Oryctolagus cuniculus: one gene and its partner. The protein of the gene in region 1 interacts with the protein of each later gene in a pairwise test. Links are inferred from orthologs where the notes say so. Each region holds a gene or a part of one and is shown on either strand. Other genes may lie near its edges.

Region 1 (7,413 bases):
CAAGTCCACAGAGCAACTTTCTGCAGCATTCATGGTGATAAATGAACTAATGCTAACAACCTAAAAATTATGCAAAGTTTTCTTCAACTGTTTACTGCCCTTTCTAACAGGCCTCATCAGAATTGACTCCCATGGTCAAGAAAAGCTTGCTCTAGAATTTGCTCAGCAAGCAGAAAATTAAAACCAAGTCCTAGCTTCCTGCAGAATGCTTCTATCCTATGCTGAAAAACTTGCTTCTACTGTGCCAATCATGAGCCAGATCAACTTTAAACTTAGCCATTTATGTTGAAGCACAAGTTTAGATAAAAAAAAAATAAAAAAACCTAAGGTGATTTCACTAGAACTGGGTAACTGACAGCTACAAAATACAAGGGTTAAATCTCCTGTCCAGTTGGACAAAAACTTTAACTGCATAAGATACAAATAGTATCATTAAAACCCTAGCATTGCTACATACAGAGGCTGGGTTTAATAGGGAACAACTGTCTCACTAGAGCAGAGTGGGTAGACTGGCACAGCTGAGGTTTACTAGGCAAGTAGAATTAACCATAGGAAAGTGATGGGGAGGTGTAAGCTTTGAGTCTTGAATGTGGTCAAAACCCAGTGATTGTTATTTTGGGTAAGGATTTAACAAAAAAATGAAGTTACACCCTAGTATTACCCCCAAACCAGAAACACCTTTCCTAATATGCAAGATCATACCAGAATCCCTGGGGCAAATTCAACAGCTCAAATTAAATTACAGCTATGAAATATAGCACTAGGTTTAAATATTCAATTTAGCTTGAAGTCCAATCCAAAATATGTTTTCAATCAACCACACAAGTATCACTTTGTCCTTTGACTAATGTTTAGCATCTACCAGTAGATGGTGCTCAAAACCAATTATCTAAAGCACACATGCAACTGGCTCTCAGTAAACTGCCATGTCCTGCCCTCCCCATTTTGCAGGGCTATCCTAGTACATCTCTTCTAGTAAACCCGTTAATAGCCAGCTACATCTCACCTCCCCAAAAAGCTGCAGGCAGCATGCTCATGTGAACAGCTCTTGTACAAGGCAGGCTAAATGCAGTCAGTTTGGCTACTTTTAATAGTTCTATGGGGTACCCTGAAATTCTCAGAACACCAGCCACTGTAAGGCCACCTTTTCAAACCCTGGTTCAATCTGAATTTACAGACCTTATTTTGCCTTTCAAGCTGCATCAAAATCCCAGGGAACACACCCCTTTAGATTACCAAATACTTACAGAATGTTGGAAATCCTATGTTAATTAACTCCAAATTAGAAACCTCAAAGTTATCATATCCATAGTAAATCACCGTGTAGATTCCTTACTAGTGACCAGCCAGCCAACAATCCAAAGACCCAGTACACTTGATCATGTCAAGTGAATACCTCCAAACTATGATTGTCAGCAATCTCCATGCTACTCATGGGTCACTAATACCACTATGAACCTCAAGAATAAAGCTTATTTGAAAATATGCTTTCCCCACCTTCCTGTATCTTAATTCTGATCATCTGTGGTCCACTTCTTATGTCAGGCTACAAATCCTTTACCAAACTGCTTTAGAAGAAATCTGTTAGAAATGGTGTTCTCACTTACATCAGGAAACCACTTTTTACGTTTTCTTAGGACCCTAGAAACCAGTGCTGTTTTACTAAAACTTCAAGTAATTTGGGAAACCAAAATTTAATGATTCTAACAAATTTACTTGTAGCTACACAATTTTATATGCAACATTTCATCCCTTAAGATTACAGAATTTTGCTTTCTAAACTAAATTACATGTCAACAGTTCTAACCAGCAGGGCTAACAGCCCTCCATAGCTTAAAACAAACAGGTGGGAAAAAATCCCTAACCCATGGAGTTTTAAAATTCCAGCCAATTCTAATTAGAAAAACCTGGAACACATTTGACAGGTCCAGTGTTGACAAGAAGACACAGGTTTCTCATTAAACTTTGTTTTAATGGGTCTCAAAATTCTGTGACAGATTTTTGGTCAAGTTGTTTCCATTAAAAAGTACTGATTTTAAAAACTAATAACTTAAAACTGCCACGCACAAAAAAAATGGTCCACAAAACATTCTCCTTTCCTTCTGAAGGTTTTACGATGCATTGTTATCATTAACCAGTCTTTTACTATTAAACTTAAATGGCCAATTGAGACAAACAGTTCTGAGACCGTTCTTCCACCACTGATTAAGACTGGGGTGGCAGGTATTAGGGGTAATATTCATTTAGCCTTCTGAGCTTTCTGGGCAGACTTGGTGACCTTGCCAGCTCCAGCAGCCTTCTTGTCCACTGCTTTGATCACACCCACAGCAACCGTCTGTCTCATATCACGGACAGCGAAACGACCTATTAAAACAAGTATTGAGTTGCCATGAGACACATAGTTCACAGAAGCAATTGTTAATCTTTAGTACAACTTGTAATAGCAATAAAAAAAAAAATCCTTACCCAGAGGAGGATAGTCAGAGAAGCTCTCAACACACATGGGCTTGCCGGGAACCATATCAACAATGGCAGCATCACCAGATTTCAAGAATTTAGGGCCATCTTCCAACTTCTTTCCAGAACGACGATCAATCTTTTCCTTCAGCTCAGCAAACTTGCAAGCAATGTGAGCTGTGTGACAATCCAGTACAGGGGCATACCCAGCACTGATCTGACCTGGATGGTTCAGGATGATCACCTGGGAAAAAAAGGATATGCATTTTAGTGCTTCTCAAACTGAACTGTGGTAACAGCTAGAAATGCTAACTCCCCTGATGTGATAACACTTCATACATGCATCAGATTGCTTACCCCCTTGAGTATGCATGAACATTGTCAATTAACAGATCATTTTAAATTGTTACCTGAGCAGTGAAGCCAGCTGCTTCCATTGGTGGGTCATTTTTGCTGTCACCAGCAACGTTGCCACGACGAACATCTTTGACAGACACGTTCTTGACATTGAAGCCCACATTGTCCCCAGGAAGAGCTTCACTCAAAGCTTCATGGTGCATTTCGACGGACTTGACTTCAGTTGTGACATTGACTGGAGCAAAAGTTACCACCATGCCAGGTTTGAGAACACCAGTCTCCACTCGGCCCACAGGGACAGTGCCAATACCTAAAATATTTGCAGATTACCAAAGAGTTATTGAGGGCCAAAGATTTTTCACCTGTTCCAATTCAAGTTATATTCTGATGTTACATTAATACCCAACTTACCACCAATTTTGTAGACATCCTGTAGGGGCAGACGCAGAGGCTTGTCAGTTGGTCTAGTTGGTGGAAGGATGCAGTCCAGGGCTTCAAGCAGTGTGGTTCCACTGGCATTGCCATCTTTGCGGGTGACTTTCCATCCCTTGAACCACGGCATCTGAAACACAAGAGAACAATTAATTCTATCACATCACCACTTCCAGCTCTTTAACAAGCACTGTCTTGAAAGTCACTTACATTAGCACTTGGCTCCAGCATGTTGTCACCGTTCCAACCAGAAATTGGCACAAATGCTACTGTGTCAGGGTTGTAGCCAATTTTCTTAATGTAGGTGCTGACTTCCTTAACGATTTCCTCGTATCTCTTCTGGCTGTAGGGTGGCTCAGTGGAATCCATCTTGTTAACACCAACAATTAGCTGTTTCACACCCAGCGTGTAAGCCAGAAGGGCATGCTCACGGGTCTGCCCGTTCTTGGAGATACCAGCTTCAAATTCCCCGACACCAGCAGCAACAATCAGGACGGCACAGTCAGCCTTTAAAGAAATCAAGGACACACACTGTGAACGAAGGTACCTCAAACCTAAGGAGGAACTCACCCACCCCCCGCCTAGAAAACCTTATGTCTACAGTTACTAGTTGCACAAACCTGAGATGTGCCTGTAATCATGTTTTTGATGAAGTCTCTGTGTCCTGGGGCATCAATGATAGTCACGTAATACTTGCTGGTCTCAAATTTCCACAGGGAGATGTCGATGGTGATACCACGCTCACGCTCGGCTTTCAGTTTATCCAAGACCCAGGCATACTTGAAGGAGCCCTTTCCCATCTGTAATTACACAGAGCACTCAGACGGTTACTAAGACACAGCAAAGCTTGAAACCCCATGCCCCCCTCCGCTTGGGAATGCATTCCGCTTCCCAAACTGCTGGGCCTAGGTGGCTCTCCAGTCGATATGGTGGCTCGTGATTTTAACATTCACATTCAGACAACTAATCACTGTTGTCTTTTATAGTCATAGCACTCTCATTTTAGTGGCCAGACTTAATGTAATTCAGCATCTTTCCCTTGCGATACTGGACATACCTCGGCAGCCTCCTTCTCAAATTTTTCAATGGTTCTTTTGTCGATGCCACCACATTTGTAGATCAGATGGCCAGTGGTGGTGGACTTGCCCGAATCTACGTGGCCAATGACGACGATGTTGATGTGAGTCTTTTCCTTTCCCATTTTGGCTTTGATTTAGCGGTGGTTTTCACGACACCTAAAATGGAAAAAGGGGGGGAACCTTTGAACCACTGTCCGAGGGTTGAGACTAAGCCACGTTCAAAACTCAAAAGGGCAAATTCCAAGGAGAATTACATCCAATGCCAAGCTGGCCTAACTCTTCAGTCTCCACCCACCGAGTGAGTTAACTCCATCGCCTAAAAAATCTCCGCCCCCAGCCGAGCCAAGCCGAACTCCAAAGGCCACACGAAGAAGCCAGGTGCCCAGACGGCGCCCTGTACCCCGTGGGGTCGCAGGAAGCGGCGGCCGAAGAGGGGAAGGCTCTTTTCCTTTGTGTGGGTGACTCACCCGCCCGCTCTCCCGGGCCACCGCGTCCTCCATTTTGAGCTCCCTGCAGCGGGGACGGCGAGCGGCCATCTTTTTCCGCGCACGCAACTGGTGCCGAGCGGGCCGGGCTCCGCCGCCCGGGGTGGGGCGGCCGCGGCCCCACCGAGCCGCCCGCCCCACGACCCTCGCCTCTCCCCTCGCCCGGCCTGGGCAGGCGCGGCGCCGTCGGGCCTCGCCCAGGCCGCGCCCGACATGTGCGCCCGGACGGGCGGGCCCCGCCGCTCGCTGTCCCTACGCCGCGCGGCCGCCCTGCCACCCCCTCGGGCCGGACGACGAACGCGCGGGGTAGCCCGCCCGGCCTCGGCGGGCCCATCTCGACGAACAAAAAAAGAGCCGTACCGATCCACGTAAAAACTCAAAGGGCCGAAGGGCCCCGCGAGCGAGGCTAGCCAGGCCGGCGCGAAGGCGAGAGGACTCGCACGCGGCGGCCACGCCAGGCCTCAACTCCAGCACGAGGAAGAGGCTCCTGGAAAACGCGCAAACCTCCAACCCTCCCGCCCCGTTACAGCCCGAAATTCGGAGCCAGGAACCTCGTCAAGAGGCTCAGTGGCATGGCAGTGTCCCCGAGCACGCGAGGGCCCCAGCCCGCTCAAGGCCAGACCCGCGGAAGCCACACCCGACACTCACCTGTGTTCTGGCGGCAAACCCGTTGCGAAAAAGAACGTCCAGGGCGACTACGGCACTTATATACGGTTCTCCCCCACCCTCGGGAAGAGGGCGGAGTCAGCACACGACACCGCTTTCCCAGTTTGCCCCGCGCCACCTCCACTAGGCACCGGTTCAATCGCCGTCCCCTCCCCCAACGCCTCGGGGACCGTGGGCGATGTGCGCTCCGACCACTGACGAGCACACAGCGCCTCGCGCATGCTCGCCTCGGTCCCGGTGACGACGAGCGCGAGGGGTAGGGGGCGGGGACGCGGCGATCTCTCGGTTCTAGGGTAACGGGAGTTTAGCGACGGTCCCTGGGCTTCCCCGAGACTGAGGCGAGTCCTCTTTTGTATGAATTACTCTGGGCTCTGGCGGCGAGAGGTGGGGGGAGGGCGGCGGCGAGGGCACCTCCGGGGTCTTCCACTCTCCCCGCTGCACCGCAGAGGTATCGAGGTTCGGGGTGTCTTCCCGCCCAGTCCTCAGCCTTGGCGCCTCGCTGGTCTGAGAGGAAGCCCCGGAGCCTCTTCCTCTGTGGATCACGGCCGGGTCCTGCTGCTCCCTCGCCTCTGCCTTCTGCGCCCCTCCGGTCGGGAGAGGCGTGCAAGGCCCCGGGACTCGGGGCAGCGCGGGGCTAAGGGCTCGGGGAGCGAGAAGCCGGGAGGGGCTCTGCCCGATGGCCGCGAGCACCACGCATCTGCTCCTGGGCTCGTTCCACCAAAGCCTGTCGCCTTTCTGGACGCCCGTGATACAAGTCGCCGCCTGGGGTTCTCCAGATGTTGGGTGTTTCAGTTTAGAACAGACTTCAGTCCTACCGTTAGCTGTACTTCTAATCCTGGTTTTGTTGGGCTAAGACTCTGGAAGAGAGTTCGTGGTCCCATTTTTTTCATCGTGTGCTGTCACTCGACTGCAAGCCCGAGAGGCCATGCTTCGCATTCAGCCTTCCCACATGATCTCGCAGCGACTGAGATCTACAGCATCAGCAAGCTTCTCCCAGCTTCCTATTTCCAACACTTGCTGCGAAGCCACTGCTCTGAAAGCCCCCCTCCCCCATTGAAGTACATGTCTTCCTTTTCTGTTGGCCTGTTGATCGTAACTGTTATTGATTGTAACTATATTTTAGCATAAATGAGATTCGGCCTTTGTAGATGGCTGTCAGGTTGGCCCTGTGAAACGCTCCTTTGAGAAAAGAACATTCATTTTTAATAAGCTGACTGCTGGCTCATTGTGTCAGGCGCAGTAACATCCCTGCCCGACTTCCCAGGCCAATCTATGAACAAGTATTTATTTGAGGACCTGTTATGCGCCCAGTGCTGTGTGAAGCATTGAGGGGTGCACAAAAGAAATAGTTCCTCCTGGAGAAGAACCCAGCATCAAATTGGAGCAGGAGAGTAATATGTAAACCACGGAGAAGCAGTTAAAGGCACATTTGTACAGTGCTCGTTTCTGTTTCATTGTAGAATAAAGTTCTAGCCCTTGCATTCAGTTACTTTTCACAGTTCACACTCTTTTTCTATTTAACTGAAAGAGGTTTTTCCGGAATTGTATCTACTTGTTTTACCACTCCTTGTAGACATACTTCCTAAAAAACAGGTTTCTCTATTTCTTCATTAGGCTTCTAGCCTACTCACTTTCATTTAGCTTTGAGATAGTTTAGGGAATCTAGGCCAAATAGTTTCCCCAGAAATATATATATATATGTATAAAACTTTTTTTTTCTATCCACAAAAGTCTTTTCTGTAATATATATATTTTTAACTTCTCTACTTTCACAAATTCTCTAGTCAGATCAAATTTTCCTAGCCTTTGGCTAATCATATACACATGGAATAAAATTATCTTGATATTCTAGTCCTTGGCTGTAATAAGAGAAAGATGTCAAGAAGTACTGATGAAAAGCAATCACCAGCAATAGAACAATGCAAATACTTCTGCTC
Region 2 (7,529 bases), on another chromosome or scaffold:
CATCGTCTCCCAGGCCTGCCCCATGCTACCTGACCTCACACGCACGTGAGGGCCGGAATCTCAGGTGACAGTTTTGCTCGCTGTATTTTATAATCTGTATGAGCTACATTAGACTCTGGGAAGGTCTCACAAGTGTCTCTCTCCCATTGGGCACCGCGGGACACAGCAGCTACATTACACCAGCCTGCTTGAGGTCTCCAGCCACCACGTGGCTCACGGCCACCGACTGTCAGTTATACTCTGATGTCTGTTCTCACCTGGGTGACAAGCAGCTCGGGGAAGCTGCTTTTTGATTCCCACGCTGAGCCAGCCCCTCTGACTGGTGGGTACCCCTACATCACACGAGTAGGTGGAGGGAGGCGGGCAGGCAGGATGCAAATCCCTGTCGGTCTGACTCCAAGGCCGCCCACCTGGCCTAACGCTGTCTGGACCATGCTTTGCCAGCCCCTCTGACTCATGGATGCACTGCTCTCAACCCATGGTTGTCTGTGGTGGTGGTGCCCCCTGGTGGCACAGGAGGGCTCCACAGGCACTGGGCAGCAGAGTCCTCTGCACCCAGGGCACAGCTTGACTCCGCCAGAGCTGTGTTTCTCAGAGGCATCCCTCAGAGACATCTGCTTGGGGTGAGGGCCCAGCAAACAGCAGTGAGATGACTTCTGGGGTTGGGGCTCCCCCTCTGCATTGCATCCTCCCAGTCAGGGCACGCGGACGAGGGCCTGCTGGGATTTCCATTTTTCCAGGCACTGGTTTATGGAGGATGGGAGACAGGAGAGGATAATGCAGTCGGCATTCAGGACTTGAAGACTCTTTGCCTGCCATGCAGTCTTTTCCCCGGGCCACCATCAAGACGCTTCAGTAATCTATGGAACTCCCGTGGTGCTCTGTGGCACTCGGGAGGCAGACCCAGAGAAGGAGCTCTTTCCGACATTACAAAGTGAGCATAAAAAAAGTACAGGGGCTGGCAGTGCAGCGCAGCAGGTAAAGTTGACACCTGTGACACTAGCATCCCATATGGGCACCGGTTCAAGTCCTGGCTGTTCCACTTCCAATCCAGCTCCCTGCTAATTCACCTGGAAAAGCAGTAGAAGATGGCCCGCGTGTTTGGGCCCCTGTCCACATGGGAGGCCTGGAGGAATCTCTTGGCTTCTGGCTTCAGCCTGGCCCAGCCCCAGCCATTACATCTGGGGAGTGAATCAGAGGATGGAAGACTCTCCTTGCCCCTCAGAACTCTGACTTTCAAATAAATAAGTCTTTAAAAAAAATACTAGCAGGCAAATGCTCCCTGTGCCAGACTGCATGGGGCAAACCAGTAGCAGCAGAGAGCGAGCCACTTGGCGGAGCAGGCTGCCCTCCTGCCTCTGGTGTGTGCCCACTGCCATCCTCCTCCTTCTGTTCCCCTTTGCCGGCATTCCTTGCAGCCTAAATACCAATGAGCAGCCTCAGTGCCATCTGGCTTGGCGGTCATCTGAGATCCGCGGGAGCCACATTGACCATTGCTGTGGCTGCCAGCCTCTCACGGCTGCTGAGCACTTGAAACGTGGATCCTGTGAATGGAAATGGGCTGGTAAGCATGAAATGTACATTGGATTTTGAAAACTTTATGTTGAAAGGATATTTTGGATATACTGTCTGGGTATGTAAAATATTTTCTTAAAAGTTAATTCACATGTTTTTAGACTTCTCTGATGTGGCTACCAGATCATTTCACATAAGGAGTGCCCTGTCATCTTATTTCTGTTTGCAGGCTGCCTAAGAGGTTAAACACATACACACACACACGCACACACCAAAAACCCAAGGCTGCACCTCGCAGCCCGGTAAAACGTTACACACCGAGTAACCACAAGGGGGCGGTCCTGCAACGCATGACCAGCAGGAAGCAGGCTGGCTCCCCAGCCAGCCGTCACAACTTGGTTTCCAGTAGTTAGTAAGTACTTCACTTACATGTCTGATTGCAATCTTGTGAGGTCAGCTTTTAAATCCTTTTTCCTAAAAATGTCTATGGTCCATATTGTGTTGTCCTTTACCAGAAATAACTCTTCTAGGGCAGGAATCCAAAACCCTTGAAAAGCAACGCACAAAGTGGGATTTGAAGGAAGCTGGAAGCTCCCCTCTGACCTCTGGGAATGAAGAGGGACTTTGCCCTCCAGGCTGAAAGCGCCCTGAGCTGGCCATAGTCAGCAGGGAGCCCGGGTAACAGCTGCAGGTGAGAGGGCTCAAGCACGCTTCCGGTAAGGCGAGGCTTAGCAGAACTGGCAGGACACACAGGTGCGCTCCTGTTTTCACCAAAGTGCTACCATCTGAGTGCACGCTGGCACTACCTCTGTGCCAGCAATTCACGTCCATCAAGTCTTAAAAACAACCATATCCTTTGGCCCGGTAATTCCACTTCTAGTAGCTTACCAGGAAAATTTTAAACTGCACAGAGATTTAGCCAAGAGGATATTCACCCAGCAAGCTAGTATCCAAACTGTACATTAACATGGAGTTGGTCAAGTCAGTTAAAGCACATACGGCTGAGACATGGAATATTTTGCAATTAATAAAAACTAAGTATTTATTTTTAAATATTTTATTTATTTGAAAGAGCTGCAGAGAGAGGTAGAGACAGGGAGAGAGGTCTTCCATCCGCTGGTTCACTCCCCAGATGACTGCAATGGCGGAGCTGTGCCGATCCAAAGTCAGCAGCTTCCTCCGGGTCTCTCTCGCCAGTGCAGGGGCCCAAGGACTTGGGCCATCTTCTACTGCTTTCCCAGGCCATAGCAGAGAGCTGGATCGGAAGTGGAGCAGCTGGGGCTCAAACCGGCGCCCATATAGGATGCTGGTGCTTCAGGCCAAGCCTTTAACCCACTGTGCCACAGCACCGGCCTCAAAACTAAGTATTTATTAACACGAACAGACATTTATGCTAAAACCTGTGCAAAGGCTCAGCAAAGGAATCATGTCCAATATTTTTTTTTTTTGCTTAGAAAAGAACAAAAGCCATTTAGAGCATACCTCTGCAAATACATCCACCTGAAAGGGACTGCAGTCACTTCTGGCAGTGGAAGTGTGGGAAGTGTGGCTGGTTTCCTTCCTTTATTTTTAATCTTGGCTTTGACAGCTTGTAAAGCTGTTTTCAGGGAGTGTCACCCCAGTCCTCCTTATGCGTTAGGTATCACACGGCACCTTCTGGCCCCAAACCTTCCTGAGCCCTGATCACAGGAAAAGCAGTGTCTTAGTTAAAATTCCAACACGTTTTGCCAGCGCCCCGCTCCGGGTTTTACCCGCGGGCCACCTCGTCCTTTGTCCCGGGTGTACGCCCTTCAAGGAGCCCGTGGCTCCTCTGGCCACTTGCTCCATCCCGCCGGGCCCGCAGGGTTACTGTCAAACACCATCCTGTCCTTGGGTCTCGGAGTCGTTTGCACTGAGACCAACGGACAAGAACCATTGGGCCAGACTGCAGGCCAGGAACTGAGGCGCTGGGGCCTGGCTGCAGACTCTCACCCCGCGCAGCCCGAACCCTCAGGGAGACGGGAGCACGGCTCGGCGCCGTCTTCCGGGAGAGAACTCGGACGTGGCGCCGCGGCGAATTTTGTCCCATCGGCGGCGCCGTCGCGGGCAGCGGAAGGCTCGCGTCACGTGACGGAGGCCCGCAGTGAAGCGGAACGCGACGGCTCCGGGGGCCCGGGCGGGGGTGCGCTGCCGGCCGGCGGGATGGAGGCGACCTTGGAGCAGCACCTGGAGGACACGTGAGCAGTGCGGGCCTCTCCGGCCAGTTCTGAGGTCGCAGCGCGGGTTACGTGCGGGACAGCGGGCGAGACCCGCGAGCGCCGGAGGGCGGCTCGGGGACGCCGTGCCACCCCAGAAGGCTGGCCGAGGGGACGGGGCCGGTGGCCCGAAGTTAATATCCCGCTGGGGCCCGCAGCCTTCCTCTCGGGGCGCCGTCCGCAGGATTAGGTCGTTCAGGAGGGTGTCGCAGGTGTGCCGTCGGCCGCACCGGGTACACACACACACAGATCGTGTGTGCGATCTGTCATTTGGTGTTTAAGGAAATACCTGTTCCTTAAATGTGTTAACGTCTGTGTAAACTCAAAGCTGCAAAAGTCTAAGGTGTACGTGCAGACACCACCCTCCCAGCCACTCCCTCGTCATCCCACTTCCCTTCCGGGAGGCAACGCCTCTTAGTTTGTCCAGTTGTCTTACCTGAGCTGTTACGTAAAGCGTGCGGTTAGAACGGCGAAAAACCCCGCATCCGAACTGTTGCGTGCGCCTAGGCTTCCCAAACCCAGCAGATACTCATTCTTCTCTGCAGCTGGCTTCAATTACTACTTTAATTTTGCTCGGGGTTGGGGAGTGTGGTAGGAAAGAGGTCGAGAAACCCATTTAAAGCACTTAGGCAATGCCTGATAGCATGGCAGGCCCACGGGCGTCATAACCGTTTGCATCCACTTTCTCAAGCCCTCTGCCTCACCTCTCCTGTGTTTCTGGAATTAGGATGAAGAACCCGTCCATTGTTGGAGTCCTGTGCACAGACTCACAAGGCCTCAATCTGGGCTGTAAGTATCTCCTGCCAACCCTTTGCTGGACTGCGCCACACCTGGTGTTGACCAAATAGTATTTGAGTCATTTCAAACTGGGCCTAGACAGGACTCGCCCATGAGAGCTGTGAGCATGTGCTGAGCCATATGCGAGGCTCCACCTGCCTTGCTGCACTTTCCACAGTATCCCTGCATGATGGGTGGGTGCAGTGTTCTAGTCCAAGTACACCAACAGTGAAAATAGGAGATTCTGAGTTTGGCACAGCTGAGTTCAAACACTCCCCCCACCCCCACCCCGTTCTTTCATTTGCTAGTTGTGTGAACTTGGGCCTAAATGAACCTTTCAGGAACTTTTTTTTTTTTTTAATATTTATTTATTTATTTGAAAGAATTAGAGAGAGGGAGAGACAGAGAGATCTTGCATCCTCTGAGTCATTCCCCAGATGGCTATAATGTCCAGGGCTGGGCCAGGCCAAAGCCAGAATCATCCAGGTCTCCCACAAGAGTGGCAGGGACCCAAACACTTGGGCGATCTACTGCTTTCCCCAGACCTTTAGCAGGGAGCTGCATCAGAAATGGAGCAGAAGGACACAAACCGCTGCCAATATGGGATGCCGGCATCAGAGATGTGTCATGGCACCGGCCTCCATGGCATAGCTTCACTGGGCTCTTGTTTACTGAGACTAGTGCTTACAGAATTGCGTGCTCTTCCTTGAGTTCCAGGTACCATTCTAATGGTAACTCACGCACTCCTCCTAACAACCAACGTGAGGCACAGAGGTAAAGTAGCTTGCCTAGGGTCATAGGGCGGTAATTGGCTGAGCTAGAAATGGTGTCAGGGTCCAAAGCCTCTTCAATCACAATGCCGTGAGATTATATAATATGCTTAAGACAGTGCACACCCAGATGGAACATGCTCAGAGAATGACAGCAATCACAGATGAGGAAATGATAGATAAGGAAAATGATAGATAACTAGAGCATTTAGTTAATGTCAGAACTAGTAAACCCAGGACACGTCTTAGTGCAAGAATTTTTAAAGCTCTGAATTTTTGCTGCAAGGGTAACAAAGCGGTAATCTATAACTCAGTTGCTTGGAGAAAAAAGGCAAATGTTTTGACGCTTTTGCCAGACTCACTAATGGAAATACTGAAATGAAGTGTGAAACTCTATTAGAGTTGCTTCAAGAAAGCTTCAAGGTGCAAAAGATGGCGCCGTGCTGGTGAGTTGCTGTCAGGAAATCCCTCTGCCCACCAGCCACAGGCACGGTTCTGCTTGGCCTGCCTTCATACACACATACAGGACACAGTAAACTCAGCAGTTACATTTTGTGCTTGGGACCCAAGGTTCCGTTATCATATACAAGCTAAAGCAGTCAGGAGTAGAAGACAATCGTGTGGGCATTTGAAAACAGCCAAGTAGCTATGCTAGCAGAAATAACTGCTCACAGAATGTTCACACGTGCCATCGAGGAGATCTGAGACTGCGTGACTCCTCAGGAGAGGAAATCCGCTTTCCCATGAGGAATGAATTAGCTTCAGCAAGCCTCTTGCGCGTATTGACTGCTTTTTGTCAATCTCACCTCTAAGCTTTTTGTTTTCGCAAGGTTCCTATCCAGTGAATTTATGGTTTTCAGAGTGACCTGAATTACAGCGTCCTGGTATGTTGAAGCTGTTTACAGATGGTGATAGGTGTGTCAGTTATAGCTTACTGATTTATTGATTTTTGTTGCCCGGCTTTCTCACTGATGTAACCACTGAGCGTCAGGGAACAGTCACTTCATGTAAGCACCAAACTTAAAGGACCAGGACCTGAACCTCCTCTTTGTGAATCATTCAGTGAGATACTGTTGCTCCAAACTTACTTGTGGCTCACCAGGTGCCCTGATACCATCGTTCTCTCTCTCTCTCAGGCCGTGGGACGCTGTCAGATGAGCATGCTGGAGTGATCTCTGTTCTGGCGCAGCAAGCAGCAAAGCTAACCTCTGACCCCACCGACATTCCTGTGGTGTGCCTAGAATCAGATAATGGGTGAGTAGAGGCCTCAGATCCTTTCCTTTCTGTTCAGAAAAACCCCTGGACAACTTGACTGAGGCCTGCTCTGTGTTCCTCAGTGACTCCATACTCAAAGTATGTCGGAGCAGGTTCTTGACCCTTTGGGCCATGGGAGCAGACAAGAATCTTGGAAGCCAATGTGCTGGCAGACCACAGTGACACTTAAATGAAGAGTAAACTGTTATTAGTCTCCCAGGAAAACAGAAGTAATTAAGTACCACAAAAGAAAACTAATCAAAGCATCAAGCCTTTTTTCTTTTTTTTTTTTTTTTTTAAGATTTATTTATTTGAAAGAGCTACACAAAGAGGGAAAGAAAGAATCCTCCATGTGCTGGTTCACTCTTCAGGTGGCCACAATGGCCAGGGCTGGGGCAGGCCAGAGCCAGGAGCCTCATCCAGGTCTCCCACATGGGTGGCAGAGGCCGAGATTCCATCTGCTGGTTCACTCCCCAGATGGCCAGAATGGTTGGAGCTGGGCTGATCTGAAGCCAGGAGCCAGAGCTTCTTCCAGGTCTCCCACGTGGGTGCAGGGGCCCAAGCAGTTGGGCCATCTTCCACTGCTTTCTCAGGTGCATTAGCAGGGAGCTGGATCAGAAGTGGAGCAGCTGGAACTCCAACCAGCGACCATATGGGATTCCAGTGCCCCAGGTGGCGGCTTTACCCGCTTTGCCACAGTGCCAGCCCCCATCAAAACTATTTCTAAAGTAATAGAAATACTAAACGTATTCCAAGTGAGGGTCTTTAGAATACGATGATGTGAAGAGATAATACAAAACTATGCACAATATTGTTTTGTCCAAAAGAGAATATATGCAAATAGGAAAATTAAAAATAGTTGTCTATGAATAATAGGATTAAGAATTCATTTCATTTTTGTATTTTACACTTTTTTTTTTTTTAATTTATTTATTTGAAAGGCAGAGTTACAGAGAGGCAGAAGCAGAATCTGCCATCC

The links.
Region 2: the proteins of EEF1A1 (region 1) and LAMTOR5 interact in a two-hybrid assay, tested with the Homo sapiens proteins (2 studies listed by BioGRID and IntAct). The link is inferred for Oryctolagus cuniculus from reciprocal best matches to the Homo sapiens genes EEF1A1 and LAMTOR5.

The regions. Positions count from the first base shown.
Region 1 is NC_091436.1:99,026,177-99,033,589, reverse strand, and holds EEF1A1 (elongation factor 1-alpha 1), read right to left. Parts: upstream 4,476-7,413; 5' UTR 4,448-4,475; coding exon 4,304-4,447; intron 4,047-4,303; coding exon 3,867-4,046; intron 3,754-3,866; coding exon 3,457-3,753; intron 3,377-3,456; coding exon 3,226-3,376; intron 3,125-3,225; coding exon 2,868-3,124; intron 2,702-2,867; coding exon 2,467-2,701; intron 2,365-2,466; coding exon 2,240-2,364; 3' UTR 1,955-2,239; downstream 1-1,954. UniProt on the Homo sapiens protein: Translation elongation factor that catalyzes the GTP-dependent binding of aminoacyl-tRNA (aa-tRNA) to the A-site of ribosomes during the elongation phase of protein synthesis.
Region 2 is NC_091438.1:59,942,184-59,949,712, forward strand, and holds the start of LAMTOR5 (ragulator complex protein LAMTOR5), read left to right. Parts: upstream 1-3,599; 5' UTR 3,600-3,696; coding exon 3,697-3,731; exon of another isoform or gene 3,732-4,476; coding exon 4,477-4,538; exon of another isoform or gene 4,539-6,432; coding exon 6,433-6,550; exon of another isoform or gene 6,551-7,529. UniProt on the Homo sapiens protein: As part of the Ragulator complex it is involved in amino acid sensing and activation of mTORC1, a signaling complex promoting cell growth in response to growth factors, energy levels, and amino acids.